Yarrowia lipolytica: one gene and its partners. The protein of the gene in region 3 interacts with the protein of the main gene of each other region in a biochemical or structural test. Links are inferred from orthologs where the notes say so. Each region holds a gene or a part of one and is shown on either strand. Other genes may lie near its edges.

Region 1 (8,266 bases), on a different chromosome or scaffold from region 3:
TGGGACGCATGAAATTAAACAGACCCTGCACGGTCTAAGCCACTAGAAGGGGTAGCCCGCGACATCACGTCAAGTGTGGAGAGAAGCTCGGCCGGCGACAGCTGGACGGGACGGGAGCAGTGAGGGGAACCTATAGATTTGGGTCTTCATCTCTGATTTTAATCTGGCATAACGTGGGCCCTATAGTGTTATTGTGCTGTGGGCTATAGGATGGTTGGCATGCACGATTTTGGCTCCTTATGGTTAGTCTAGTGCACACTCACATTCGGTTGCTCAATGCATGGAAAGCTTGTGCAGCACAAGCGAGCACTGGTCAAAACTGTGGGTTGGGCCATCTCTCGAAGAGTAGAAGCGAGTGGCAGTCAGAATTGGGTGCACCGAAACCACAGATCCGGTAATTATTTTGGCACATCCGCCATTGAGCCTCAGCACCGCACGCACAAGGCACACACCTCCGTGGCTCTAGAGCCACCTACAGCAATCTCCCTCGCCTGACGCTACACCACAAGTGCTCATACGCGACACAAACTGGTTTCGAAATCTGAGCTCACCTGAAACTGTGCTCCCCCCCCACTTGCACTCCAGCCAAAGTCAGCCAACTCTGTTGTCTCTTCTGCACACGCCAAAGGCAGAGCACCAAAGACAGTTGCACCAAGCTCCCGCACAACACTCTAAATTCACTTCCTCCTCAATCTACAACCAAAGGCTCGCAGACCTAGCCTCCTAAACCACAAGCGGCACAATGTACGCCGAGGACTACCCGTATCCCAGGTCGCCGAAGGAAACGACAGACTCGTCTGCCGAGCCGGCCTCAGACTTAGCGTCTGTGTCAGCAGCCCCTCCAGCAGATGGCAACCCTGAAGAAACGACGGCTCCGACGACTGCCACCTCGGAAGAAGACGACAAGAAGAAAAACAAGCGGCGAAAACACAAAAAGAGCAGAAACGGCTGCTTCAACTGCAAAAAGCTCCGTATCAAGTGCGACGAAAGTCACCCAGTGTGCAAGAACTGCCACCAGCGCCACAAAGAGTGTGTGTGGCCCACGGTGGCCAAGGCCAAGGACAGAGAGGGAAAGGCCTCCGAGCTGTCACCCACAGAGCTGGCAGCTTCCGCCCTCATGCATTCCACCTCCAAACAGACCATTCGACCCACATCTATGGCTCGAATGTTTGACGTGGACTTTGCTGACCTCGAACTGTTACGGTTCTACGTGGAACACACCTCTCCTCAGCTGACCAAGAGCTGTGGGGACGCAGACTACTCTTGGGTGCGGTCCATCCCGTCCATGACCATCGTCAACTCTGCATTGTACAAGTGTGTTCTCACTGTAGCATCCATCCACAAGGCTCACATGTACCTACCCGAAAAGTACACCTACGATCACGAGTACGCGCGCGAACGAAAACGACTGCGAAAACACCTGGAAAAACGACGAGATAGAGAAAACCCGGGCGTGCCGATAAAACTGCCACCACCAGACATGACCCGGGTCACAGGATACCTCAAGCCCAACTCGCAACTGCTGGAGAAGATAGTCAAAGCCTTTACAGAAGCCCTGGCGGGACATAGACAGTCACTAGTGACCCTCAACGCCTCCAACCAGGAATCCATTCTGTCCACCTCCGTAGTCATCTTTATGATTGCCCTCGCGCTTGGAGAACTGATTCCCCTCATCAACTTTGAAGGAGGAGCCGACGTGATTGGAGTAGGAAGAGGCGTGATTGAGCTGGTGTTCCAGCTGTCGGCCAAGGATAGAATGGTGCTATTCCCTCTACCTCCTCCCATGCCCAACAGATCATACCTTCCCAACGAACCTGTGCTTTGGCAGCTTATCTCTACAATCCCCGACATGGGCCACCGACAAATGTGTTCTATGGAGCTACAACAGCTGATAGAGCTCTACAATCTGGACGTCAAACACCGGGGCCAATCACATCTTCCCGGTTGGGCTACTTACATCTCTGGAGGCTTCCTGCAAGCTACTCGAGCAGGAGACCCGTACTGTTTGGTTATTCTGGGCCACTACTGCGCATTTGCGCACATGTCTCATTCATTTTTCTGGCTTCGAGATCGTCTCAGTGGCGACTTGGAAGCTATCGTTGATGTGCTTCCTGAGGAGTTCCATCACTATCTGGAATGGCCTCGTTCCATTTGTGGTAGATTCGACATGAACTACCAGGATCTTATTTCTGGCAGACTCCAAAAGCTGACCCTGGACGACAAGGATGAGAAGATCGAGCCTGCTCACTCCGAACTGGGACCCGGGCCTTCCCAAGAAGGACACCAACAACACTATGACGGCCCCATGCTTGATCTGTTGCAACAGCAACAACAACAGCAGCCCCAACAGCCCATCCCTCAAGTGTCTCAACAACAGCAACTCGACCAACTGGACCAACAGCAGCTTACACAAGACCAGATGCTACAGTCCCCACCAGAGCGACGGCAGTCCAACCACAGTCAACTGGGACTCTCCGACAACCAGGATCCACATATCCAACAACATATTCTTCACCAACAACAGCAGCAACAGCAACAGCAGCAACAGCAGCAGCATCAACAGCAGCAGCATCAACAGCAGCAGCATCAACAGCAGCAGCAGCATCAGCATCAGCATCAGCAGCAACAACCACAACAACACCATCAACATCAACAACCACAACAACCGCAGCATTCTGGAGATCTACATCACTCTGATCTGCCTCCACCTCCGGAGCAGCAGATTCCGGATATGGGAGATATGTATCAGTACAGCAACCCGGGTCCGTCAGGCCATGTGGATCATCATTCGCTAAAGATGGATCACAATTCATCAACCCACGGATCGATGCTTTCGTATGGGCCTTAGTGGATTGCGACGATGCGGTTCAATGCATTTGTTTCTAGGATGGACAGGCTCACTTCTTTGTCTTCCGTCTTGGAACAACAAATAACAGAGGCTTTTATTTAATCTCGGTTGTCAATGCCAAGCTCATTTTCGGGCTAGTCCTTATTTATTTGTATAATATGAAAACGAGATGTTCTCTTCCTATATTTCGAATTATGGATATTGTATCTGTTCCTGGTGTCTCATGTCGTAGGTACAAGTGTCGTAGCTTGTCACGGTCATTTGGGTTCCAAGGATGGAATAATTCAGCTAAGGCACTAGCGGGGGACTAATGCGGGCCTACAATAGCGCTCTGCTAAACTTCAGACCGTAGCCTGCATAGTCTTGTTTGCCGTCAAGCGGGGGTATATACTGAATTTATTGGCTGCTGGTTCCTCCATGTGGGATTATTTATTTAGCCTTGTCAACAGGAACGATATAAGATACGTTATGAGACTGCAAAATCGAGTCTTGAAAGCCAAAGAAACAGCCAAAAAACACCCAAAAGTACCCTGGTGATCCCACTACGACGGACGGCGCTCCCGCTGGACTATCTCCCTTTCTCCGAGTGGTATAGGGGACATGACACCGTGTTGGAGTTTTAGTGCCATTCTGAGTTGCTGTAGATTGCATCATCACAACCCAGCGCTGCGCTGGCTGCCGCCAGGGTCACCTTGAAACTTTGGCTATGCTACGGTTGGGCACGGGCCGTGTCCGTGTGGTCTCCTGTTCTGATCGCGATTTTCGTTTCGGTAAAAGGCGCGGATTATCATATAGCGAGACACGAGCTGGCCTGCAGATCCGACATGTCCGACCCAAGGCATGTTGGATGACATGTACTGCTGCTAGTGTATTTCTGAGGCTGTTATAGTGTGTATTTGATAATATCAATGGGATCGGAGCACAAGGGAACAAGGGGAGGCCTATGATATCTCCACACCCCAGATATCGTAGTTGCGTTTGTCTGCGGGGCCTGCATCACGTATTACGATGGAGTTTTTCTCCTTCCCGTATTGAAAGATGGTTCGTGTGCGCACATACCCAGGGCTGTAGAAGAGCGTTTAAAGGACGTATACAAGTGTCTTATTCGTTAATAAAAGGGCCGATTACAACCCTCAATAACGGTTGGATAGGTACGCTACTCACTTAATGACCGCAAGTGGCAAAAGGGAAAGGGGTACATAAACACCGCAGTCCATGCAAGATTGCGCAGCGTTATATACTTATAGAGAGAGAGGGTGGTTCTATTCATAAGCGAATACGATGTCTGCCTACTACACAATAATTGTCATACGAGAATGGGTGCTGGTGCTGTAGAAATGTCACGTTAACTTACTTATAAAGATACCCACTTACCCAGAGTAAGGAGGAGGGCGGTTGGTGTTGTCCTTCTTGTTGTCCAGAGAAGTGTAGTACTCCCCGGAAGGAGGAGCTTGGTGCTGGGGCTGCTGCTGGTGGCTGCTGGAAGGACCGGCTCGTTCGAGATCAGAAGAGCCGTAGAAGGTCTGCTCGGAGCCGTTGACAGGAGCGTAGCCGCCATGCCGACATCCATGCTCGTCACCGGGATATTTCGAGATGATGTAAAAGGCATGAATCAGGCCGGGCAGGAAACCGAGGCAGCACAAAGCCACATTGATGAAGAAATCTGCGGAACAGACACCTCGTCGAATGGCAACTGGAATTGGGGGGAAGAAAACCGCCACAATGACAAGAAGAAGGTCGGTGCAGCTCATGGTGATGTGTGTGGATGTGTGCGATGGGGGTTTAGAGGCGGACCTGGGCTGTTACTCAGGGGTTGTAACTTGTGCTTGTATATCTGTGTCGTTTAGAAGACGTCACAGGTGTATATAGTTGAGTGGGTTTGCGGTTTAAGCAAGGCGTTGGTATGGTGATATATAGGGCTTGCTTGACGATGGTGGCGAACTAAACTCCATAATTAGGGTTCGGGTATTCCCACAGCGGGTGATGTCATGATACAGCCCAAGGCTTCATCTGGAATATTGTATGGTATATGTCAATGTTTTAGGAAGTCTATATTTTTGTGTGTAGAGACCATGTAGTAGCGAAATGTGAAAAAAATTCTCCAAAGTCGCCAAAATCGAACGCTCAATCTACAGAAAACACACTACAATGTAGTTGTATCTCGCCACTGACACAACCATGCGGCTCAAAGCCCATCAGAGTTAGGCTCACGAATCTTTTGATGAGAGCCTCACGATAACAACAGAACACACCAGATGAAGCGAAACCTGGAGGAGTACACGGCAGGACCGTTGAACGAAGATACAGGCCAGCGATCGGCATTTCCGCTGGACGAGCAAGTGGCCGACCTGGACCTTGAAGGGCCCCCTATGGATGTCGCTCAGTATCTAGCCCAGGTGAAACGAGAAGCAAACCAGAGTCCAGCATTTACGACAGTCAAAGGACAGAGACGTGCCACAACACCCTCAACATACTCGAAGAAATACACGGAGATGTCTCTTGTTATGCCACTATCTGTTATCAACGAGTGGAGAGTGGAGATCAGAAAGTCATTCATGGAGTTACGGAAAACTGTGCAATCGCATGGAGATGAACGACCTGAACTACCAGCTGATTCAGAGCTACCGACAACATTTTCAAAATGGAAAACGTTCATTTCGGGCTCTTCTTCTCCCGAACCAACACTACAATTCATTGCATCGTTGCCCCACCAGCAATTGTTCATGCTCTTGGAGTACTGTCATAAATGGCTGGGACCTAAAATCAGCCGTGGTCTCAGTATATGGCTCATGGGTCTGTTGTCGTGTCTGCCCGACATTCTAGACGCGTCAGAGCAGGCGTCAGTACGGAGTCTGGGTAAACGAGCTCTGGAGATTCTACAGAACCCCAAATATGATCGACTGACAGACGTTACGGAATTTGCATTGAAATCAGTCGTCATCATTTGTGCCGACGTCTACCACCAGCATGATCTCGTCGAAACTGTTGCAATTATGGAACGAGAACGTCCTGTTCAAGTGAATGAGATTGTTCTTGACTACTAAGCATTACACGTCGGAGATACAACTATTACTTGTACTTGTACAACACATCAATTTTTATAAGTTATGCATGCTTAATGAGCAAATCTGAAATCCAACCGCCGACTTCCCTTGTCTGTCGAGTTTTGAGCGTACTCCTCTCGCTCTTCTTTGGACATGGCGCTCCACTTTCGATCTCTTCGTTTGTTAATGGTGACATAGAAGATCTTCGTCACAATGAGCAAAGCGATTGTTGCTCCACTGATAATAATCAGTTGGGTGTTTCCCCTGTGGTAGAATGGAGCATCATCCTTTCGATAGATCTGTGTGGCAGCAACACCTCCAGCTTGGACGCACATGTTGTACATGGCGGCAGACACTGTTCTTTGAGACACAGTGTTGGAGTTTCTGGAAGTCCATGCCACAACAACAGCATGGATGTAGGGCCCTCCAAGAAGAAGGACTAGAATGGTGTAGGTACACCAGACATTAATACCCGATTCAGGGTAGAAACGGAGAGCAATCACCAATACCATGACCCACAGGGGTTGAATGATACTGACGAGGGACCGCTCATTGATCTTTTCAGACAGCCAAGTGAAGGACAACAAAAGAATCATTTTAAGAACACTCACTGGGATGGTCAACAAGTTTGTGTTGAAGGGAGAAAAACCCAGGTGTCGAAGAGTTAGAGTCAAGTAGGTTCCTTCGGGACTGTCTCCAATGTATGCCAGAAGACCAATGGCATAGATGGGCCACATGTAGAAGTCAGACAGACACTTGTAGAGAGTGAATGGGGTAATTGCTTGTCGGTTATGAAAGTCACCCTTGTACGGGTCGTCTCGTAGAACTCGATTGACCACAATCTTCTCTTCTCGGTCAGTGAACCAACCGTTTGGTCTGAACCACTTCTTGGTACTGACAGCCGAAGCTGGCATTCTGAAAAAAGAGGCTAGTCCGATACACAGAGTTATGAGTCCTTCAATGATGAACAGCCATCTCCAGCCAGCCAAACCTCCAGAGTGGATTCTCAAAATTCCAAAGGCCAAGAGCGAAGTCAGAACGTTCACGAGATACAAACCAGTCCAGAAAAAGGAGAGTCTGATGGACAATTCTTTTGAGGTGTAAAAGTACGACAACCAAAGAACCAGGTCAGGAATGAATCCTCCCTCCAAGAGACCAATGAGACTTCGCGTAGCATAGAACGAAGATTTTCCCTGAAGGGCTCCTTGACACATGGCTACCGCACTCCACAGACAGATCTGGATTGGAATCCACCGATCAGGACCTAAACGTTTGGAAACCAGCTGAGACGGAATCTCAGCACTCATGAAAGACAGATAGAAGATCATGTTTCCGTAGTTGTACTCGTTGGTGGTCAGCTTCAGGTCTTCTAGAAGATTATCAGACACAGCCTGAGCCAAGTTGTTTCGGTCAATCTGCAGTCCCCAGAACATAATACATGCCCAGCCAGCGACCCTCCACTCCATCTTTCTCTTGACACGTTTCTCTTCGTCCTTGGTCCACTCGAAATCGGGATCAAACACATGTCTGCTTTCGTATTGAGAGTCCTCATAGAGCTGTCGGAACTTTTCAGCAACATTTGGATCAGTGAATGGGTTCTTGTGATCTCCAGATCCGTCGAGGACTCCGTCGAACTTTTCGTCTTCTGTTGCAGACAGGCCTTCAGTAGAAGAGACCTCAGCCGTCTCATAGTCGACGGAAGCCGCAGATACAGCCTTTTCCTTGACAAATGGGTTTTTGAACTGCATTGCGAGAATAATCCGGTCGCACACACCTCACCCAAGATTATATACTGTCTGTCAAGCCACTCTCCAGCCCGAATATAACTCATCGTGGCTTGCACAACCGTATGGACGGTGGTATTGAAAGGTGGCTTTGGTTCAGACATACGCGATAAATATAGGCTTTAATTTCGGGATCTTGGGGTCCTCGGTAAGGTAACCTTGATTCCCCGGACACCCCCACATGGTCTCTATCGTGCATATGGTGATACTCCTATCGACGCATGCCAAGAGGAGGTTAGACAGAACTTGCAGACGAAGTCTTGGCAGATATCACTCGTAGAATACTGGTAGATGATCATTCAGGATGAAAACAGGTCTCGTCAAACACTCCCCCAAATCTTAACCAACAGGCACGAGAGCGGATACACCTTCGGAATGGGGAGTGTTGCGCATGACAAGCTTTGTGGCCTCAAACAACGTTGTATCACGTCTTGTGCGTTAATGTGGCGTTTACGCCTCGTACTACTAACTGTGGAGGGCATCGTGTAACACAAACACGGCAATCACGCCAGGCTGTGTACGGTGTGGAGGGAGGTCTGAGTCAGGCAGCGCCCCTCCCAGCCTCATCTCCGGGTACAAATAAGTCCGGC
Region 2 (10,816 bases), on a different chromosome or scaffold from region 3:
AAAAAGAATACCTGCTCGTGTTCTCGACGAAAAGAACTTGCGATTGAAAATGGAGCATATCGTCTCCAAGTTATCTCAAACCGCTATCCACCAATTCAGCAGACGCCCGAGGTATTCGGAATATCCCCAATTAAGGGTGAATACGAGCTGGTGGCAAATCTACAGGACAATGGTGACAATGAACAACGGCGACAACTATATAGAAGCTCAGAGTCCGTGGAGAAACAGTCACACATTCCACTATCGTGCCGGTGCAAGTACAAATGCACTATGTACGATACGAAACTGTGCTCGTACTTGTATATGAAGTCATCAATCTACTCTTCCAAATGTACAAGTACCGCAGGTAACATCGACATCTACCCTGACCGCACCGCTGGAATCCCCAAACTGACGACGTCCCAGCGGAGCAGATTACTACCGGGTGGCGTTAGGCACTTGCCACCCACTTCAACTTCAATAAGAAGGGCGATCCCTGGTATGAACACTGAATTGCCACCAAGTGATTTACAGTTCTGAATGTTCAATAGAGCTACTGGTAGCTCTTTGGACGGTGGACAGATAGTCCGCCCACAGCCCCTTCAATCATTGTATCCGGCTGTGCGATACAGAACGGGGGAACTAGCAACAGAAGGTCCTGATCCGCACATCCCTTCCGTTACTGTACATACGCAGGTATCCACAACACATCTCTGCCAAACTAGGAGCTAAGGCTTCTAAGCCGCACTTAGCCCAAGCGGAGAGAGTAATAGCCATTGGGTTAGCGTCGATTGTGAGCCATACCTGCGACGCTGAGTCACTTTGGATCGTGGAGCGGGACGAGAAGATCGAACGATCGAACGCTTGAGCGACCCAACGTACGCTGTGCGACACAGGAGCAGAACACACCCCTACCGTGAGAAAAGGGCAGCTACAGAGCTCCAGAAAAGGAACAACCTTGAGCTTCGCCGAGACAACCCTTCACCGCCATTGGTGTCTTATCTTGCGGCTGAACCTTTTATCCCGCCGGTTTGCTTCCACTTTTCGAACTCGATGCAGAATCGGACATCGTATTGCGAACCCTCAGAGTCTCAAAGTTATCAGGGCTTTGGTTATGTCTGCTTGGAGACCGTGTTGAGCGATGTCTGGTTGAAAGACGCAGCGGCTGAGACGGAGCGCGAATAGCAGAGCACACGAAACGATGGCGCAGTCGCTTGCCAGTTAGCAGGAGTAAAGGAGACATTGGACAAAAGAAATCAATTGAGGAAGATTAGAATTCCGTTGTTGCAGACAAACCTCGTACTTGTATCATATAACGATGAATGTCTGGCAACAACAGGGAAAGCTCTGAGGAGCGAGTCGGAGGCTAATCTGTCTAGGTTCCAAACAAGAGCCGCTAACGATCAGCTCCTCACTCGATAGATAGATAAAGCGGGTCCAGGGTCGTTGTTCTGGTGACCAAAATGTCTGTCCTCATCTCCTATCAGGGAACCCACTTGGATATTCCTTACGCACCAGCAGAAGAGTCCCATGAGGATGATGAAGATTATGGATCACACAGCAGTAACACCACAGGACTAGACGCTCTCTCAGAGACAACAATCTCTCTTCCCCGGTCCGACTCGCCTTTACCTTCGTTTGAACAAGTCATGCAGGAACAGAGATCACTCATGGTGGACTTTACCCCCATTGTCTCAGTGAAGTACACGAAGAGCACGCGGGTCAAAAAGATGACCACTGCTCTAGTGCGTCACATGGTAGTGTCGGAGACAAGGGCTCAAACGAACGAGACTCTGGTCCAATGGGATCTCTTGTCGGGTCGATCCAAGCCTGTTGAAGGGCCCGTTTCTGCAATCTCCAATCCGGTCTCTATCCAAGCCTCCACTCACAAGTACTCGCTTCACTGCTCTCTTCCTGCTGGGCTTCCTGAAACTGCTTCCCACAACTCCAACAAACTGTGGTACACTCTTGACACCCAGGTGAGCTGCCAAAAGCGGTTACATTCAAACTGCGGCCTCATTGAGCATTCCCAGGAGATTGTCATAGCCCGAGGCAGAAAGATAGACGACCAGACTCTTCTCCCCGTCAATGTCTCGGCTCCCTGGCTCAACAAGCTCAGATTCGTTGTTTCTTACCCGCAGAAAGACATTTCTCTAAACGAAGATACCGAGATCCCCGTCAAGATCACCACGACCCTGTTTGAGAAGCCCATTCGACTCAACTCCGTCAAGATCTCCGTGACCCAAACCTGCAATTCAAACGCCAATGACACGCAGAAAACTGGACTCCTCACCGTGTATTCCAACCGATACGCAGATTCGGACGATGTAGAGCATGACGAAATAGAACTCCAGCAAGCCAGGGAAGAAGGGTTCGACGTGAAGGAAAACTTTTTCGACTCCATCCATAGAGGCAATCTTCTCATCCCCGGAGCCGAAGAGACAGTGCTGGATTACTCGCTGAAGTTGAATTCCCGGATCATTGACAAATTATCCGCATCAACCTCCCGCACCCACCCTCTTCACGTGGTGCACAAGATATACGTGTCGCTGCGCTTCTCACAATTGGATATGACCAACCAGCCCAATCAGAAGTCCCGAAGGTACGTGGACCTGTCTCTGTCTGCGCCTTTGGTGTTCTCCAGAGCGCGGTCAGTCTTCGGAACCGCTCAGGTGGACGCTTGCTCTAACCTCGTGCCGTTCGAATATGAAGACTTTTTGCTGTGCGAGTACCCCCTGTTAAAGAATACAAACATGGTCTTCAAAAACGATTACGCCGATGACTCTGCTCCTTCCTACGAGTCTCTAGCACCCCCAGATTACGAGGCGATCGACTCAAAATGGGAAACCAAGGCGGATACCAGGGGAAAGACTGGTTGCATGGCTCGAAGTGGATGTGTGGACCAAGGTGAAATGAGGAACACGAGATGTCGGTGGTTTAGACGAACCATGCATTAATCTTCCTAGCAGATTATTCGAATTACGATATTGGACTTGTCAACGGTGCCAGCACCATCAAGTGTTCTATAAGTATCTCTGCCAATACTTGTCGAGAGACATCTGAAGTGCAGAGAGACTAAAGTCATGGTCGTTGAATGGATTCAGACACCAGAATTGAAGCCGTGAAATCCCTTCAGGTCTTCAAAGGGCTCTCTCAAAAAAGCGGACTAGTTTAATCTCGTCAAATCGAGTTGCAAAAGCGAGTGTTGAGTCGCAGATGTGGAATGTCTATCGTGACAGCTATACCTGAATGCTGGAAGTACCAACTAATCAGACCATAATCCCAACTAAAACTTTTCGCTCCAGCAGGAGAACAGCAAGGGGTCTCAAAAATGCTCAACAGAACCAGTATTTACAGCCACAATACATAAATATCCACAATATAGTACAAGTACACTTTTGTACACGCTCAGAACATGACAGTGATGATCCGTCCAGGTTCGGGTCAATTGCACAACCGTGAGAAAAAGTACTGCTCATAAAGACAATATAGGAACAGTCTTGACCTTAGAAGAAACGGTCTGCAAGATCACAATATATTCCATTATCACACTGCTGGAAGACTCTAGAGTCATAAATCCGTTTGTGCAGTTTTGAACCAGTTTGTAGATCCTTTTTCTGGACTCACAACAGACTTGAAATTACCCATTAGTCCAAACAAAAGCCAGAAGGGTACTAATGAAGTCAAGATAAATATTCTGATATCAATTATAAATCAATTCGCGAGATTTTTGACAATTTTCATGATAAATAATACAGGATACATTTTTTTTGAAAATCGCCTGGCTAGCTCAATCGGTAGAGCGTGAGACTCTTATTCTAAGGTCATCTCAAGGCTGTGGGTTCAAGCCCCACGTCGGGCTTTTTTAAATTAAAATTTAAATATTTTTTTCCCAAAAAATCCTCCTCCATTGGTTCTTTGATGGGGAACAAAAATTTACTGCCTTCGACCAGATTTGAACTGATGATCTCAGCATTACTAGTGCTGCGCCTTACCACTTGGCCACGAAGGCGGCTATGACGGCGCAAAGATGATTATTCAGCCAAATTCCGGAAAAACGAAAGAATAAAATTAGAATTAAAAATTAAATAATACGCCCCTGACTCAGGTGGTACAACCTCACAGTACTGTACTGTACATTTAGTTACACCAAAAGTACAATAGAACAAATCATACTCTTTACAAAACACCGAAAATACTCAATAAATCACTTGTCTAAATGCAACTATTATTTTCGACTCAACTCAACCACTTGACTTTGTGAATGTGCTTCTTGGGAATCAGGACATGCAAAGTATAGTCCAGAAAAGTGTCTTTCATAGACTTGACATCCCAAGAAGATGTCGAAGAGTAGCCCATGAGAGAGGACCGAGCGGTCAGATAGGCCCAGTACATGAGAGCAACAAAAATGGGAAGCCAGAAGAGGAAGAACATAATGTCTTGGTGCAGAAGCGTACGCTTCGACTTCCAGGCCTCCATGACCTCCTCCTCGCTCATTTCTACTGCTCCACAGGAAGCAGCAGACTCATCGGTGGGTGTGTTAGAAGGAGTGGCAGACACTTCTGTCTGCTCCTTTCGGTCCCACGAGCTGGGGGCTGCTGGGGTGGAAGACCCAGCTTCAATGACCGACGACGAGTAGTCGATTTCGGGCACCTTGGAGCCCTCGGGAAAGATGTCTTCGTATTTGGGAGGAGCATGCTCGTTAGGAGACGAGGAAGACGCGGGAGACGCGGAAGACGCGGAAGACGATTCCGACGTAGATGACTCAGCGACCTTGAAGGGCGACTTGATGAAATCATACAGATCGCCCATGTTGGAGCTCCACACCGCGCTGTTAAGGTCGTACATGTACTGAGCGATACCTCGGGGTCCTCGTGCTCGTCGTCGATGTCGACGCGACCGCTTGGAAGATGCGGGCACTTCAGTCTCTGAACCAGAGTCATCCGAAGAAGCAGACACGCCCGAGTACATGAGATCCATCAGATATGACCGGATCTCCTCCTCAGCAATGTCCAGCGCGTAGTGACCGGACTTGGACTCCACAAAGAGGTTGACGTTCTGAGAAGCCAGGTACGTGACAACATCCAGCTTGCCACGAAGAGCAGCGTAATGCAGCGGGGTAAAGCCCGCGTCGTCTTGGGTGTTCAGGAACACGCCCCGAGAGGTCAAGAAAACCACTAGTCGTGTGAATCCGAGTCCGGCAGCCAGGTGCATCATCGACTGCGTCTTGGCGTTGGTGAAGTTGAGGCCCTCGTTGTTTTCAGAGCTCTGCATCACGTCACAGCAGCTCAGCAGCTTGATTACCTCGCTCTCCAGCTGCATCTGCTGTTGAATGTAGTCAGGCTGTTGATGCTGCTGCTGTTGTTGAACCATCACGCCAGAAACGTTATTGACTCCTCCTCCTCCAATAAGCCGACGAGCAATGTCCTTAGCGTCCTCTAGCTTGCCGTTCATCTTAAGACCCACCACCTGCAGAGCCAGCTCGATGAGTTGTCGGTCCGTGTCATCGATATATGTGAAGACCTGGGGGTTTTTGACGGGGATACCAGAGAAGGCGACAATCACGGGCCCGGCAACCTCAGTGGCAGGAAGCTGTGCGACAATGGTCGTATCACTCCAGCACTGGGTTGAGGCAAAGTTGTCACCAAACTTCACCACGAGTCCGTCATGGAAACCCTGGCCCAGCAAGGTGATCTCCATACCTCCCCGGATAGAGCCCTGAGAGGGAATAAGCCGCTTGACGGCAGGGACAGAGGAATCCTCCTCCGCCGCACTCTCGGACCCACTCAACAAACTGGCCATGTTGGTGTATGACTCGGAGAAGTCGGTGGATGAGGGCACAGACGTGAAGAGATCCGTGTCGGGAATGGAAGATGTTTCTGAGACAGAGCCCAGCTTCTGGAGTGACGTGGTCGACGACATGGAGTAGGGTGTGTCGTCGGCGCCACTCTTACGTTTCTTGGTGGTTCGAACCACCTCCATCTCCATCTGAGGACCATCGGGAGAGGGCGATTGCGCCTGTGATTGTGGTTGTGATTGTGGCTGTGACTGTGGTTGTGATTGTGGTTGTGATTGTGATTGTTGCGATTCGGAAGAGACTCGAGCTGCTAGAGAGGACACGTCGCCCTCGGTCAAGGCCTTGTGGTCGTCGGTGATCATGATGGGGGTGGTTTTTGTCTGGGCAACAACACGGCCCGTGTGGTCCCTCAGCGAAATGTAGGCTGTGAAGCCCAGCTCCTCGCCGTGGTGGCGACAGTAGCACGCGATCCGCATGGGCAGATCCAGCCGTCGACCCACCACTCCTCCTTCGGTGGTCACGGGGGACAGCTCGACAATCTCTTTGCAGTTGAAGATGATGGCGCGTCGGTCCCGGTCGCAGTTCCAGTGTGCTTCGTCGATGGGGACACGCACCTTTTTACGCGACGCTCGCTTTCGCTCTCGGTTCATGCAACCAGAACAAATATTGACGAAGTTGCGGGGGTCCGAATGGCACACGACGACCGTCTCCAACATGAGCACGTCGGCGTCGGGCTCGAAGCCCTGTCGCAGCTGCAGCTTGGGTTTGGAAATTGTGTCGGTGGGGAGATGCACAAGGTTCTGTGGTGGCGGCGGGTACACAAACATGGACAGGTTGATTTGTGTCTCCACTCGCGAGCGGGGAGGGAGGTCCTGGACCACAAGCTTGTGGGCGGTGTGACTGCCAATCTGGTCCCAAGTCACCGGGTTGAAGTCCGGCAGATAGGTGGGGGGCGAGCCGGAGTTGTGGGGGCCAGGGCTCAACGACGGGGGGTAAATGATGGGCGTGGTTCGGCCAAACTTGTAGTTGGCCAGGCCGGACTCGTTTTTGCGTTTCTTGGCCTTTTGTGTCTGTGTGGCGGGTTGTGTCGAATGTGTCGAATGTGTCGGAAGCGTTGCCGGAGACTTTTGTATCGGCGTGGGTATCGGGGTCTGTGTGACCACGCCCTGCTGGGGCGAAAAGAGGTCCATGTGGAACTGATCCATGTCAATGTCTAGCTCCTCGTTGAGCCCGTCGTCGTCCTCAAACATGCTCATGTTGAGGTGCTGCTCAATGTCGTAGTCCTCGTGGGGGGCTCGCCGCAGAAAATGCTGCGGCAACATGGATCGTGCAATGGAGTACACGCCGCGTTTGGAATCCGTCTCCATTTTATGTGCTAGGGCTGGCGCAACCTGCTACTGTACTGTAGAACCACTGGTGTATCGGAAAGGTGTCGGTAACGTTCCGGGTGCTAATTTGGTGGCGCTCACACGCTGTTGTGACAAAGCGAGAGTGCGTGTGTGTGTGTGTGTGTGTGTGTGTGTGTATGCCTCTGGGCTGTGCTCTCAAACTTGTGCGGTCTCGTGATGGGGCTCTTGGTTGCGTCGGGAGTGCTCGCTGGCGCAAATGCGGGTTTTGTCTTGCTCTGTCTGCAACTCTGGCGCGCTGCTGGTGATGTTGGCAGTAATACTGTCGTGACTGGTTTTGACCCAGCGGTGGAGCAGTACACTCCTCAGAAACCCTAAATCTAAATTAAATTACCGGGTCTGACAATTACTCGTAGCCTGGTATGAGAAAATCAACGTTAAGATTGGTCAACTTTATACTGGTATTACCAGTCGGGTCTTTTTTGACGGTTGTTCGTCTATCGCTTTCCCAGCACAACGAGGGGAACTGCTAGAGACGCTTAATGTATCATGTGGTTATAAAAAGAGAGTAGAAATCGCCGACAATAAAAGCCCATCGGACCCCCAATCACTTATCTTCCTCCTCCTCCACACACACACACCAACCCCGACCCATGTCCAAACCGCGCACTAAACTAGTTTGGCCCTAACCCCCGTCCACCACTGGTGCCTCTGCCACAACAAGCCCATCTGCCGACCAACCCGGAACGAGCCCCTGACCCACGCTCTAACCCCGGTGTTTGTGCCATGTGGCGCTAGACCCAGCCGCGAGCTGGTGGCGGCGGTTGCTACAGTAGCTCCTGTACGTGCACATGCCCACGTCATCACAAGAGTATCCACACGGGCTTTGTATTTTTTTTGAGTTGCACAGTCAGGTGTGGGGAACCCAGCTGATGCGGCTTATAGGTTTTTGGCCATTACCTGTACGAGGCGACCCTTGCCCTGGGGGGCTAGACACAGTGCCTCTTTTGTGGTTTTTAGGCTTTGCAATTAATCCGAATTACGGGGCGAGGGAGCAGCAGAGTGCAAAGAGAGGCGGGAAAAGCGAGCGGAAAAAGGTGTGTGAAAAAGAAATGACCAAGACCCAAACAAGAAAACGCTGACTGGCTAACATCGAGACGTTGGAGGACCCAGGGAATAGCCCAGGGAATGGCGTGTCCAAACCACCAACAGGGCTACTCACCACTAACGTCCGGGCCATTGGAGCCAGAGCTGCTGGGGTCGTTTCATTAATTAGCAAATGTCCTTAGCTCCTGGTGGCTTTCGAGCCAAGCACGGATCGGACAAAACAACGCTATCGACAGATGGTTATACAACAGATGACATTTACAGCTCATACCAGGGCTGCCAAGATGAGGAGTCCAACAACAGCAAAAAGTAACGACAAGTCACCACAAGAAGCTCCCGACACTCATATCTCGTGGTATCGTTGCATTTTTCCACTCTCTATGTTCAATCTATGATTCCAGCAGTTGCACCTGCTCTTTAGGACCGCTACGATACAACCAAAGTATCTATTGCACCACCTCTCAAACACACAAGATGCACTGCTCTGTCTTTCCCGTCTCCACCACAGACCGACTACAAGTACAGTATGTGCAGTGCAGTACAAGTAGATGCACTTGTACGTCATCACAGCTCCTCTTTTTCCTTCCCACTGACAGCTTTCTACTCCTCCCATGTAGCAACCCTTTACTGTCATACGATCTTTGCTACATGGACCTTGTCCTACCTATGGGCGGTTTGTTTTTCCGTGGCATTTATCATTTATTGCTTCAGTTATGAACGTTACGGCCAACTGTTTTCCACGACTATAAGGCGTCACACTGCCTTGCTATACCTCCTATTCTGCTGAAGTTATGACCACAACCCGTGATGCACTCCCTCCTACAGCGACATCCAAAAACACTTTGCTGTGCACAACGCCCAAAATGTTCCGAAATGTCTCGCGAGCTACGGCAGCAAATGTCTCGTGAGCTAAGTACGGCAGCGAAAACAAATGTCTCGTAACCATCTTTGTTTTTCTTGCTCAGAGACACACTAACTAACTCACCGTCTGTAGCCGGGTCACACTACGGGTGTACTTTGCGATACCAGATGCTACAATTGTAGCCCAGACCAATGTGGACTTGTAGCCTATGCGATCGTGCTACTTGTAGGGGGACTGTATTACACCAAAGTTGTTTTGAAACTGTGATCAATACGCCGCAGTCCATGAGTGTGTCACCCCTTTTTTTTTTTCTTCTTTTTTTTTCTTCTTTTTTTTTCTTCTTTATTCTTTTGATCCCTAGCCTGCTCCAATGAGATGCGCCTTTTTCGTATTTCCTGTTCGGGAGCGTCGTGTGAACCTACGGCGGCATGGCAGCTGCGTAATCATTTCCTGAAGAGCAGATGTCTCCAGTTTGATTTCGACTGCGGACGGATTATTGAGATTATCGCTAGACATGCTGCAAGGGGAAGGTAAAACCCGGTAGGGTAATACCTGGCTAATTTCCTCACATAATGATAAGAGGTCAATAGTGATGAGAGGAACCAGCTTGGTCGTAGACGAGATGTCCATCCTGTAGATGTGTATCCGCTGATCTACAATCTCTTGTCGTGAATGAGCAAGCACACACCCTTCTGTGTGCTACTATCAGAACGTGGTGTCCCTAGAAGTGAGCTGTAAGTCGTTATATTAACTATATCTAATCAATAATACTTAGGATTTTCAATAGCTGACACGCCACCAAGACAGCCCTGGTGAGAACGCAAGTCAACAGAATAAAATGCTGGAGGAAAAGTGTTCAGCTCGACTTTGGCGTTAAAGGCTATCTCAGCCATTTGTGCAAACAGCTATTGATTTTTCTCAATACATTTTCAATACATTAATTAAAACATCATCTAAGAGAATAATTCTTGTATCGAATGTAAGCAAAACGGGTTATACTGTGCAAGAGGAACGAGAGACTTGTGACTCCGGTGGGAAAAAACGGGTGTCCAAACATTTATCGTCTCAGTCCGATCTGACCAGGATTCGAACGATGAACGAGGAAGATTGCCCAATATGATGACTTGACTGGTTTAAAAACCCCAAGTAAGGATAATTACAGCTGGGATATCAGCTTAAAAAATTAAACAATTAAAAAAACAATAAAACAAATAAAACAAAATAAAACAACCAATATTACGGCAACACCAAAAAGGGCAATCTTGTACCAGGCGGAAGTAAAAGAAAGCGAGAATGCACTGGATATCCCCCTCCCCCGACACTTTTTCCAGCTACCTGCATCAACTCCAATCCGCGTCTATTCGACCACCACCGCGAATCGAACTGAAGCCATCGGTTAAACTCTAACGTAAAGCCTATTCCAAAAAATTATGCATGAAGGGTGTTTAAAAAATATATTTCAGAGCATGCTGATCACTAGCTACACAAACCACCATGTCGACGGCAAAGAAACAAACGATACATTTTTCGGGCCACAACAACTTCCGACGGCGGCTCGTGCTCGCCACGTTATCGGGCATGCCTGTGCGAATCGACAAGATCCGGTCAGACGATGTGGAGCCCGGTGTGAAGGACTACGAGGTGTCGTTTCTACGTCTGCTTGAATCGATCACCAACGGATCGGTTTTTGAAATCTCCTACACAGGTACCACGGTTGTTTTCAAG
Region 3 (10,801 bases):
ATCCAACTAAATCGAGTCTAGTATGTACATACCACTTGAAAACCTGAAGTCGGAAGATTCTATCCATGTACTTCCATTACCAATCTATTACTCTAAGACCTATTGTCTCAACTCATGCTCCTTGACAAAATACAAACAAATGGTGCTGATGGCGCACATTGCGGTGGCGTAGAAAAACACGTCTTTGATGGCCAGGTCGTAGGAGGCGATGATGGCGGGCTGGAACTTTGCGGGGGCCTCTCGGATGGCGGTCACCGACTCCTTGACGGCGGCAATGGTCAGCTCGATCAGTCGCACCTCCTTGGGGGTCGGCTTGTCCACCACGGCGTACATTTTGACCGGCAACCACTTGGAAATGACCGCCTGGAAGATGGTGGAGGACAGCGACACGCCCAGAGTGGATCCCACGCCTCGGAAGGCATATTGAATGGAGGTTGCGGTGGCCTGTTCCTGGTTCGAGACCGCGGAAATTAGCGCCAGCAGCGAAACGGTGAGCATGGCGGCATAGCCGGCTCCGGGAACAAACAGCATGGTGTATTGTAGCCAGGCCGGGGTTTCTGCCGACAGAGGAATCAGCGCAAAGACTCCCATGGTGGTGAGAACTCCCGCGGCGATTCCCAGATTGTAGTACTTTCCGGTCTTTCGCATGTAGATTCCGGACGACATGGATCCAAACGAGACTCCGATGAAGTTGCCCACCAGCCGGGCGCCCGCTTTGGCGTCGGAATCGCCCAGCACAGACTTGTACCACAGAGGCACGTTGTAGAGCATGGCAAAGATTCCCATGGTCATAAAGAGGTTGGTGAGCGACGACGCAAAGATGGTTTGTCGATAGAGAAGACTCACGGGAATCACGGGGTTGGCACACTTGAGCTCGTAGTTCCAGAAGACCACGCCGGCAATCACAGAGATGATCAGCGGGGTGTAGATGATGGGTTCGGTCCAGGCGGACTTGGTGGCGGACGAAATGGCAAACAGCAGTAGCGACAGCGACGTGACCAGCAGAGCCGAGCCGGCAAAGTCGATGTTCTTGACCTTTTGCCAGGTAGTTTCGCCGGTGGGGTCAGAATCGGTGCTTTTGGCATGTGGGAGATTTTCAGACTCCACGGATCCGTAGAGAACCGACGAGTTGGCTCCGGACAGAGGATTGGCCACGTCCGAGTCCGCCGGCGACGTGGTGAGGGGCGAAACGGGGGTGTTTTCGTCGGCGTTTTCGTCGGCGGACTCGGGATCGTCGAGCTTCTGGTTCTTGGTATTGCTGTTGGTCATTCCAAATACCACCAGCGTGCCCGAGCAGACAATAAAGGGCACCTGGATGAGAAACACGCCTCTCCAACCAATCCACTGCGACAGCACGCCTCCCAGAGCTCCTCCGATCGCCGCGCCCGAACCGTAGGCAATGTTTCCAACGCCTTGGTAGATTCCTCGTTGTCGCAGCGGAATCAGATCGGAAACGGCAATGGTGCTGACGGTCAGAAGCCCACCGCCGCCGATTCCGGCAATCACTCGGCCCACAATCAGCGGCATGAGCGAGTACGACAGACCGCACAGGGTGCAGCCGACACCAAAACAGGCCGACGACACCAGCAACATGGCCTTTCGACCGAAAATGTCGCTCAGACGGCCATACAGCGGCTGGAACGCCGCGCACGAAACCAGGTAGCCCGTGGCGATCCACGAAATTCGCGACAGCTCGTTCAGATCAGAAGCAATCGTCGCATAGATGGAGGTGACAATGGTGGCGTCCAGCGCGCTGAGAAACACGCCCGTGTAAAGCGCAATCAGAGTGAGTAACATGTGTGTGTGTGACCAGTCAAACAAGTGTCAAACAAGTGTCGAAAAAGTCGGTTGCGCGTGCATCCGACGCTTCTTTTCAACTGCGAAGATAAGCCTCGCAGATACGCCAAGGTTTAATAAGGAAAATACCCGACTGCTCGTGCACGTAAAATGCGGACTCCGGGGGAACCAGTGGGGAAAACGAGACACCCCGACGGGCACATAATCGACGGTTTGAGAAGCGGAAAAAGAGATAGCCGGAAATTAACGTGTCCAAAAATCCGATTTCCACTCTTAAAATGCCCAAATCCACCAACCCTAGCCCGTTTCACAACCCACACCCCCAACCCGCTCACTATTCCCAATCCAGAAACTACAACCTAATTCTGCGATAACTGTCATGTCCGGGAAATACAACCACAACCAAACTACTTGTAGCAGTCAGAAAAACGCACACCTCCTAAAATCAGGCCGCGGGCCTTCTCGCCGGTCACGTGACCAGAAACCAATCTCGCAAACTGAAAACACGCAAACTGCTGCTCTCAAACTGCAACCCTCAAACTGCAGCCCTCAAACCAGCCCCACCTAAATCGTAGCTTTGGCAAATAGTGTCGCACAGTAGGTTAGACTCCCGCACCAGCTGTGGAGAGAACAGTGGTCTCTCAAACTGTTTTTCAACCGGTTTTCAGATGGCGTCGCTCACTTTTGAATCACTCTTTTGAATCACTGTTTCATCTAAGGCTATACCCGATTGGTATACTCGTCTACAATGCAATCCCATACCTCTTCCACCTACATATTCTCTCCATCACACCCAGTGTATATCCCTCACTCAAACTGTGGCTGATTACCAACCACTTGTACAGCTACGATACTGATAAAAGGTTTATACTCACCGCGCCTTACTCAGCTCACTCAAGCATGTTATAAAAATGTATATGCTACCTGCACTGCGCAGTCCCGTCTCCCCGGCTTACTCCTGGCCGAAACCAACAGTCTCCTCCACAGCCATGGACAGCTTCTTGACCAAATCCTCGTAGTTCTTGTACGGAGGCAGATCGACTCGGTTGAAACAGGTATGCGACTTGGGCAGATGCTGGGCCTCTCCAGCCTTCTCAATCGTGAACCGGCGAGGACCATCGCTGCCCTGCAGATCCTTGAAGCCGTTGACGGGGATTCGCGACGTACCGGTCGTGAACTGCAGCAGCCGCGACTTTTGCTCGCTGTCCCACGATCTAATGCACTGCCAGAACCACTTGATGACCTCGTCCGACTCCGAGTAGCCCCGGTAATCGGTGTGCTTCTTCCAGTCGTCGACGTCAATGTCGGCAATACCTCCAATCAGCAGCTCCAGCTCCCGCTCGTCAAACACATTGACCAGCTCCTGGGGGATGAGCTCGTAGAATCCAGACACAAACGCCTGGAACTGCTCCTCCACACGCTTGCTGATTCGCCACTCGGTCACAAGCTCAACGTATTCAATCTTGTTATCGTTGGTCACTTCAATGTTTCGGCCGTCGGGCTTGAGATCAATGGTGACAATCTCGCCAAACTGGTCGTCCTCCACGCTGAAGGTCAGGTCCAGCACATCGGTAATGTCGTTGTCCAGCGCCCACTCCAGGTTTCGGTGGTAGTCCGCGTCCACACCCTCCATGTCCTCCAGCATAACCTTCTTCTTGAGAATCATCTTGTAGAAGGCGCCAATGAAGAAGGCGTCAAGGAATCGACGATGGAAAATGGCCAGACCGACGCACCGACCGATGAACTTGAAGTAGTTGAGATGCTCGGGGTTGATGCCACTGTGGGGGTTGATCTGCAAAGTGTAGTTGTCGTGCGCCGAGTATTCAAACAGACAGTAAAAGGGGTTGAACATTTCGTGCGACAGCAAAAAGAAGAACTCTCGCGACACTCCTCCGTAATCCAGACCCTCCTCGCCGTCGAACTTGATCATCAGTCGCTTCTGCAGATCCTGTGGCGTCTGCCGCATAATCTCCTGATATGAATCTTCAAAAATGTGATCTCGCCGCACCTTGATGTGGCACTGGCCAGGCAGAATTCGCAGAGCAGGCTGCGACCGGAAGTAGATGAGCTTTCGTCGGAAGTCCCGCTTGTACTGCGGCACGCTCTGGTCAAGCGACGAGGGCAGCCGTGGGTCTTCCCAGGTTGTGGTCTTGGTGTTGTGGTCCACAAAGTACACACGAGCAGTGTTGGTGAGCCGCATTTCCCAGCCGGAGGGAAGGGGACCCAGATGGGACACAGACATTTGCTGCACGGTCGTGTTGGTGCCCCCCGCGGCGTTGGTGCCGCCGTACATTCGAATGTACTGCTGTCGCCGAGGGTCGACCCAGGTTGTAGTTCGTGTGTTGTGGTCCACAAAGTAGGGCCGTCCCTCGGGTGTGAACCGCTGCTCCCAGCCGACAGGCAGCTCGCCCAGTGCGGGTGTGGTGGCTCCAGACATGGTCATGGCCACGGCGTCGGATGCAGACCGGGGAGTACCACCCGGGGAGGTGGCTGCAACACCGCCGGCGGCTGCACCTCCTCCCGCCGCTCCCGACGACGAACCTGCGGTGGCGCCGGAGCCGGTACGGTTGTGGGAACCGAGCGTGGGCGACTGGGCCCGCTCCTCGGGCAGCGTTCGGTTCTGGTGCCGCTGCCGCTCCAGGTTAGTGTTGTTCTGACGGGCCTGGCGCGACTCGGACTCGTTCTGCGAGTTTGCCGGGCGGGTCCACGTGGTGCTGCGATTGTTGTGGTCCACGTAGTACGTTCGGCCCAGATTGTCGGTACGTCGCTCCCAGCCGGTGGGCAGCCGGCCAAACTGATCCTCAAAGGACGAGAAGCCCCGGGAGTTGGGGGCTGGGCGTGCGGCCGTGGACGTGGCGGTAGCGGTGGGTGCACCGGCAGGGGGGCCTGTGGTGGTTGTAGTGCCCGTGGTGTTATTGGCCCCGTTCAGCGCACTGGTCGATGTGCTGTTAGTGGTGGCCGAGGGGGTGGCGCTGTGCGAGGTGGAGCTGCTTCGCACGCTGGAGTTGTCGACGCTGAGGGACGAAATGTCGGGGAGGTTGGTGCGAGCAGCAGCAGACACGGAGGCGGTGGATGGGGCGGTGGAGCCTGCCGCGGAGGAGGCGCCGGTGGCGCGTCGGCCGGCGGTGTTGGTGCTGAGGTTGAGGATGATCTTGCCGTTGACCACGAGCGAGTCGTTGGCCTTGCGGAGGTCCTTGGTGATCATCTCGTCTCCTCCTTGGGCCAGGTTGAGCACGTCGCCCACGCGGATGTTGATGACGCCGAGGAAGCCCTGGTCCTTCTTTTTGAACTTTTTGTGGTCAAAGATTTGCACAACGATGATGGACGACGGGGTAACGTCGACGTCGAACGACTCGTTCCAGTAGGGGTTGAGCGTTTTCTTGATGACGGAGGTGGTTCGGGTTTGGCCGCCGTCCACGAGGACCACTGCGAAGGGGTCGGGGAGACGGAAGACATCTCTTTTGTATAGTTGGTCTGCGGCGATGACTGTGTTAGCGGGGTTGGAAGAGTAGCGTGTGCAGCGAGCTACGAGGGCTCGAGTGGACACCGGGTCGCACGACGGCCGGACACCGGGTCACACGACGGCCGGATACCAGGTCGCACGACGGGCAACGACCAATGCAATGATATGAACCCCGACCATACAACGCAACGATGGCAACGACTGATGACAATGATGTACAATAACGTACGGCAACGACGTTGAGAACATATTTGACCCGGGCACTCCTCCACTCTGATCACAGAGGAGACCAAGTCTTGAAGACGTCCTGGCCATTCCATATCGTAGGTCTTTGCCATTCGACACCGTCATTCAGCATGGTCTCTCCGCACCGTCACTCGTTCCGTCACTCGTTCCGTCACTGGTGTCGCACAGACTCGATCTCCGGTCCAGAGTTTGTGTATCTCCGAATGGATATCAGGCCAGTTGTCATAGGGGCGTTCGGCCGAGGACCGTTCCCATTGGACTGTGTCTGTGCCATTCTCTGTCTGTGCCACCTTGTGTCTGCGACATTCTCTGTCTGCGACATTCTCTGTCTGTGTCACCCTGTCCCATGTCCACCCAGTGTTCCGTTGGTCCTGACTGGTCCCTGACTGACTGCCACAGTCGCTCCGTGGCGCAACGCCACCGGCTCATACTCACCCGTCAGCCTTAGCTTGGTTGTCCTGGGCATGCCGGAATTCTATCGCTCTGGTGGAAGAGGAAGACTGTGCTGGAATCTAGGAGCTTTGTAGCCCGGTTCGATAACTAGCTCAAGTGAGAGTGACACACACAGTTTGGGTCTTAGTCTTGCTGCCTCGCCTCCCAATTTCAAAGTTACCCGGGGTACGTAGAGGCATTAATAGTGGTGGTGGGAAAAGACGGGCAAAGGAGCCGGTGGCCGAGTCACGTGGACTCCCGCAGACAGCAGACACGTGCCTGCCACCTGTTTGTTGCGCGGCCAAATATATACCCCACGGGCCCTTGTCTCCTTCTCGTTTGTTTCTCCTCTGAGGATTCCTTTTTTTTTTCTCTTCATCCCCACCCTACTTCCAACTGTACTGCAGTATGAACTTTAGTGAATGTGTGAGTTCAATTTGACGAGGTTGTTGGCCATGTGCTGTACGTGGGACACGCACGGTTCGAGCCCAGTATGAGCACATTTGGCTGTATTACACCGTGGGACAGCTCCTTGGGTCCAACTTTACTCGACGGTCGCCAATCCGCTCTTTCAACCGCTGAGACGAACCGCTTCTGACCGTCTCAAACCGCTTCGACAACGTTTGTCAGCACCTTCACTAGCGCCTTGTACCTACGACCCACGATACTCCACTCCGCCCCGTATTATTCAGGAGATGCCACTGTTGGTCCAGCCGGATGGATGCGCAAGCGGACCGCGAAGTAAAAGCGTGTCGACGTGGTCCATGCGACATTTGAAGGGCTCGTGGAGTCGGAGGAGTGTATAGGAGCAGTCTATAGCAGTCTATAGCGTCTATAGCAGTCTATAGCAGTCTATAGCAGTCTTTAGGAGTGCACTCGTATCAATCTATACTCCAGATGGCATCGTACCTGAGACACTGGTGACCACGACACCTCCACTTGCCGAGGGCAGGCCGACCACCTCACCAAACTTGCGGCATATCTCAACTTTGCTCGCCAACCTCGACACGGAGCTTTTGCTCTGCTATCGTGCAGGTTGCGTGACTAATGTGGGTCGCTGCGCCTCCTCGGAGCTATTTTGGGAGTAGCGAGTGGCGGTGAAGACAAGCCCGTGGGTTCGAGTCTGGCGGAAAACGAACATGGAGCGGCTAGGGCTGGGGTATTTCCGATCACTAATCACAAAAGGGAAGCGCATCTGCATGGCGTCAGCTTTGCCCTACTTTGGAGAAAGTGGGCGGAAAATGGTCTGAGCAAATATCGCCGGATGTATATATAGGAGCGAGCGTTTGGCTCGGCAGGTCAACAGAGACGACTGACGAGTAACAGGCGACACGAGGACAACAGAAGAACGTCTCGACTTACGAGTAGACTCGGTAAGACTCACGAAATCCACATGTTGACTATCGACCATTGACAGAACCACTTCCGTGACTTGCGACTTGATACCTTTCTTCTGATCGCTACCATTGGTCTGATTCTGATCTGATACCTTTCTTCTGATGCTGATGCTGATCCTGATGCTGATCCTGATACTACTCTGATCTATGATATCTCCTATCCCTACTAACTCATCAAGTAAACATTCACTATGCAAATAAATACGGCATAAAGTCCAAACTAAACCTGGTCGGCTCGAGCCCAGTCCTTGGCCTTGGAGTGCTCCTCATAGGAGTTGCCCGATCCGCTGGGCTCAACGCCCGACAAGAACTCCACGCCATTGGTGGACTGCTCCTCAAGCTCGTGGTCCTTGTGGATGGCATGCTGGACGTTGACCTTGGGGCCCTTGAACCACTTTCGTGCGTCGATCATGAACCAGCCAAACGCCAGAAGCATGGGACCAAAGTAGACCACCACGGTCCAGTTCATGGTGTCGAGATCGAGGTTCTTGCCCTTGTACTGGGGCAGACACAGAATGGGGGTCATGAGCGCCACATAGGCGACCGACAGAATGCCGCAGGGCCGCGACCATCGGCCAAGGTTCCAGGGCCCGGGCTTGAACTTATCCGACGACCAGAAGACCTTGATGCCAATGGGCATGGTGAAGGCCACGTAGCCGGAAATGGCTCCCACGGAGAAAATGGCGCCGATGGCGGTGTCACCAGCAAACATGAGAAGCAGCAGCAGCTGACCAATGATCCAGTTGAACCACACGGCGTTGACGGGCGTCTGGGTGTAGGGGTTGACCTGGGCCCAGATGTGGGACAGAGGGTAGCAGCCATCACGAGAGTAGGCAAAGGCGACTCGCGACGCTGCCACCATGCAGGCCTGGCCCATGAAGAAGCCCGAGATGATGGTGAGGGCGGTGATTGTGGTGACAAACCGTGGAGTCAGACACTGTTGCAGGTAGGTGACAAAGGGCTGGCCGAGCTCGTCCTGGGTGACTCCGGCCACGTCTCGGACCGTGTAAGCGATGGCGATCTGGAAGGCCCAGCCCATGAGTCCTCCGACTCCGGAGGTCATGACGATGGCTCGGGGAGCGGCCACGGAGGCGTTGGAGCACTCTTCCGCCAGGTGGAAAGGAGAGTCGTAGCCGGACATGGTCCAGATGATGGAGATGAAGGACATGAGCACGGCGATTCCGTTAGGCCAGTCGGTCTGGTTGTCGATGAACGACCACACCTCATGGGAGTTGTTGAATTTGTGGCCGTCTTCTCCGGGCTGGGCGCCGCCAACAATCATGAACAGCACCACAAACAGACACAGGGTGTTCATGAGGGTTCCGGCACTGTTGAACCGTGCAATGAACCGTGTGGGCATGGAGGAGATGATGCCGTGCGAGAACATGATGCCCAGAGTGAGCAGATACACGTGCCATGTTTTGGCAGTGTAGGAGGGGTCGTGCAGTGTTTTGAGGGCGAGAATCATGGAGGCGGTAGAATAGTTGACCGAGGGTGCGGCCGTGACCTGGCAGAGCCAGTTGGACCACCCCGTGAGCCACGACATGAGAGGGCCCCATTTGGGGGGCGCCAGCACCGCTGCGGCGTAGTAGAGACCACCGGAGGTGGGCATTGACGAGCACAGTTCTGCCATGCTCATGGCGACCGACTGCACGCCGACCATGGCGATGAGCCAGCCCCACGTCATTCCGGCGGTTCCGGCGTATCCCAGTCCGTAGAAGAGGGTGGATGCAATGGAGGGGAGGAGTCCGAGGACCGAGAAGGAGACGGCGAACGTGGACCACAGGCCGAATTCTCGTTTGAACTCCTCCTTGTATCCGAGCGCCTCAAGATGGGCTTGATCTGCGTCCATATTGTTGACCAGTGTGAGATATGGTGGTTAGATGTCAATCGAGTGTTGGTGAGTCAAGTGTCAGATCTGAGCCAAGTCTGAGCCAAGTGTTAGATCTGAATGAGACAAACGAAATGCAAGATCTGAGCGAAATGTGAGATCGGAATGAGATGAACGAAATGTGAGATTGGAAATCGGAACGAAATCTGACGGAACGAAATCGATATGAAAGATATCTGAATGAATGATATCTAGGATGATATCTAATACGACAAAATCGTTCTTACCAACTGTGAATCGGTTACTGTGCAACCTGTCTGTGTAACCCACGAATGTCGTCTTGTCATGCGAAAACTGGATCCCATGGTCTATATATATAACGTAACGTGGGTGCGGACACAACGGCGAGTCGAACTGATAAGCGGGGGGATTTGACTTTGCCGATATGCACTACCAATCTGCACCATCCCAAAGAGGATGTTGTATGCTGATAAGTGTGGGGGGGGGGCGAGTTTGAGCGACTGGCCAAACAAAAAAGCGAAATGGCCAAAAAGCGCCAATCCAAGCGCCGAAAAAGCCCCAAGTCCGTGTTTTTTGGACGCTCCAAAACGCCCCCCACACATCCCCAAATCACCCCCCAAATCTCCCCAACCCCCAAACCCCATAAACCCAGCTAGCGTGGAAGGACAAATATACTTGTTCTGTAGCATAAAAAAAATACTTAGTTTGTAGCGCTTGTACCACCTGTAATAGCGTCCGCACAGTAGCACCAAGTGTAAGTATATACCTTGCTGCATTTTTTAAAATACCCTTATCATCTCCCTTGTACCTTAACCTACCGTGGAGGTCGGAATCCGGCGACGCACAAGACGGAGCGCGAGAGCAGCGCGAGAGCAGCGTGGATCCATGCACAAATGGGCGTGGGCGTGTGCAGAGATGCCAGTGTGGCCAATCGGACACGCCGTCTGTTGCGTCTGGAGTCATGCTTTTCGCGGCTATAATTTCCGCCAGCCCCTCAGTAGGTTGGCATCATGAAACCCAAACAAAAAGCTCCAGTATCAAGGTTGTGCCCAATCACGCCCATATGTCTGGAACCTTGTGTCTGTTGGTTTGTTCCTTGTCGTTGTTGCTTGGTGCCAGCATCTTTCCTAAACAGTAAGGTGTATGAGGGTGGTGTATGAGGATGGCGGTATGTCTTCATTCAGTTTGATTCTCCGAATCCCTCCGAGTGTGGAGATCCAGTGATGAGGTGAGGTTCGACACGACTTGACCAGACTACCAGACTCAAACTTGAGATAACTTGAGATGCACTTGTCAGACCCGATCCATCTCCAAGCCACAAATCTTTGCAAACAAGATACTCTTGTACATTCTGTAGTGTATCGCTCTTGTGTGCTGCTATCTTCCCCCTACTGCTCAAAGGTATCTAGATCTCATCACACGTGCATCTAAGCAGCCCCTCAAAGTCGCTCCAAGCCTCTCTCTTCCGGTCTCAGTCCCACTATCGCGGTCCCACTCTCTCAGTCTCAATCTCGTCGTATCCGTCCTTTGAAGCAGGTCGATACGCTTGGATGAAGCAGCCCTTATCAGACTCTCGATCCAACGTGCTAGCCAGCGAGATGGCCGTGGAGATAG

The links.
Region 1: the proteins of YALI1_E21513g (region 3) and YALI1_B27399g form a complex in vitro, tested with the Saccharomyces cerevisiae proteins (2 studies listed by BioGRID, with this or other methods). The link is inferred for Yarrowia lipolytica from reciprocal best matches to the Saccharomyces cerevisiae genes RSP5 and SNA4.
Region 2: of the proteins of YALI1_E21513g (region 3) and YALI1_A05605g, one has a biochemical effect on the other in vitro, tested with the Saccharomyces cerevisiae proteins (4 studies listed by BioGRID, with this or other methods). The link is inferred for Yarrowia lipolytica from reciprocal best matches to the Saccharomyces cerevisiae genes RSP5 and SPT23.

Annotation. Positions count from the first base shown.
Region 1 is NC_090771.1:2,735,285-2,743,550, forward strand, and holds YALI1_B27399g (uncharacterized protein), read right to left. Parts: upstream 4,600-8,266; coding exon 4,219-4,599; downstream 1-4,218. Other genes in the region: YALI1_B27360g (uncharacterized protein), read left to right, coding at 743-2,848; YALI1_B27404g (uncharacterized protein), read left to right, coding at 5,104-5,892; YALI1_B27429g (uncharacterized protein), read right to left, coding at 5,964-7,640.
Region 2 is NC_090770.1:556,911-567,726, reverse strand, and holds YALI1_A05605g (uncharacterized protein), read right to left. Parts: upstream 7,144-10,816; coding exon 4,219-7,143; downstream 1-4,218. Other genes in the region: YALI1_A05662g (uncharacterized protein), read left to right, coding at 1,443-2,936; YALI1_A05592g (uncharacterized protein), read left to right, coding at 8,402-8,468, 8,519-8,946; YALI1_A05583g (uncharacterized protein), read right to left, coding at 8,973-9,189, 9,235-9,377; YALI1_A05571g (uncharacterized protein), read left to right, coding at 10,586-10,816. UniProt on the Saccharomyces cerevisiae protein: Dosage-dependent suppressor of Ty-induced promoter mutations. May exert its suppression effect through protein-protein interactions since does not present any of the motifs generally found in transcriptional activators or DNA binding proteins.
Region 3 is NC_090774.1:2,146,038-2,156,838, forward strand, and holds YALI1_E21513g (uncharacterized protein), read right to left. Parts: upstream 5,973-10,801; coding exon 5,942-5,972; intron 5,284-5,941; coding exon 2,750-5,283; downstream 1-2,749. Other genes in the region: YALI1_E21478g (uncharacterized protein), read right to left, coding at 100-1,797; YALI1_E21524g (uncharacterized protein), read left to right, coding at 6,361-6,418, 6,467-6,744; YALI1_E21535g (uncharacterized protein), read right to left, coding at 7,155-7,458, 7,503-7,510; YALI1_E21552g (uncharacterized protein), read right to left, coding at 7,556-9,187; YALI1_E21555g (uncharacterized protein), read right to left, coding at 9,248-9,520, 9,565-9,633; YALI1_E21566g (uncharacterized protein), read right to left, coding at 10,315-10,553, 10,609-10,801. UniProt on the Saccharomyces cerevisiae protein: E3 ubiquitin-protein ligase which accepts ubiquitin from an E2 ubiquitin-conjugating enzyme in the form of a thioester and then directly transfers the ubiquitin to targeted substrates.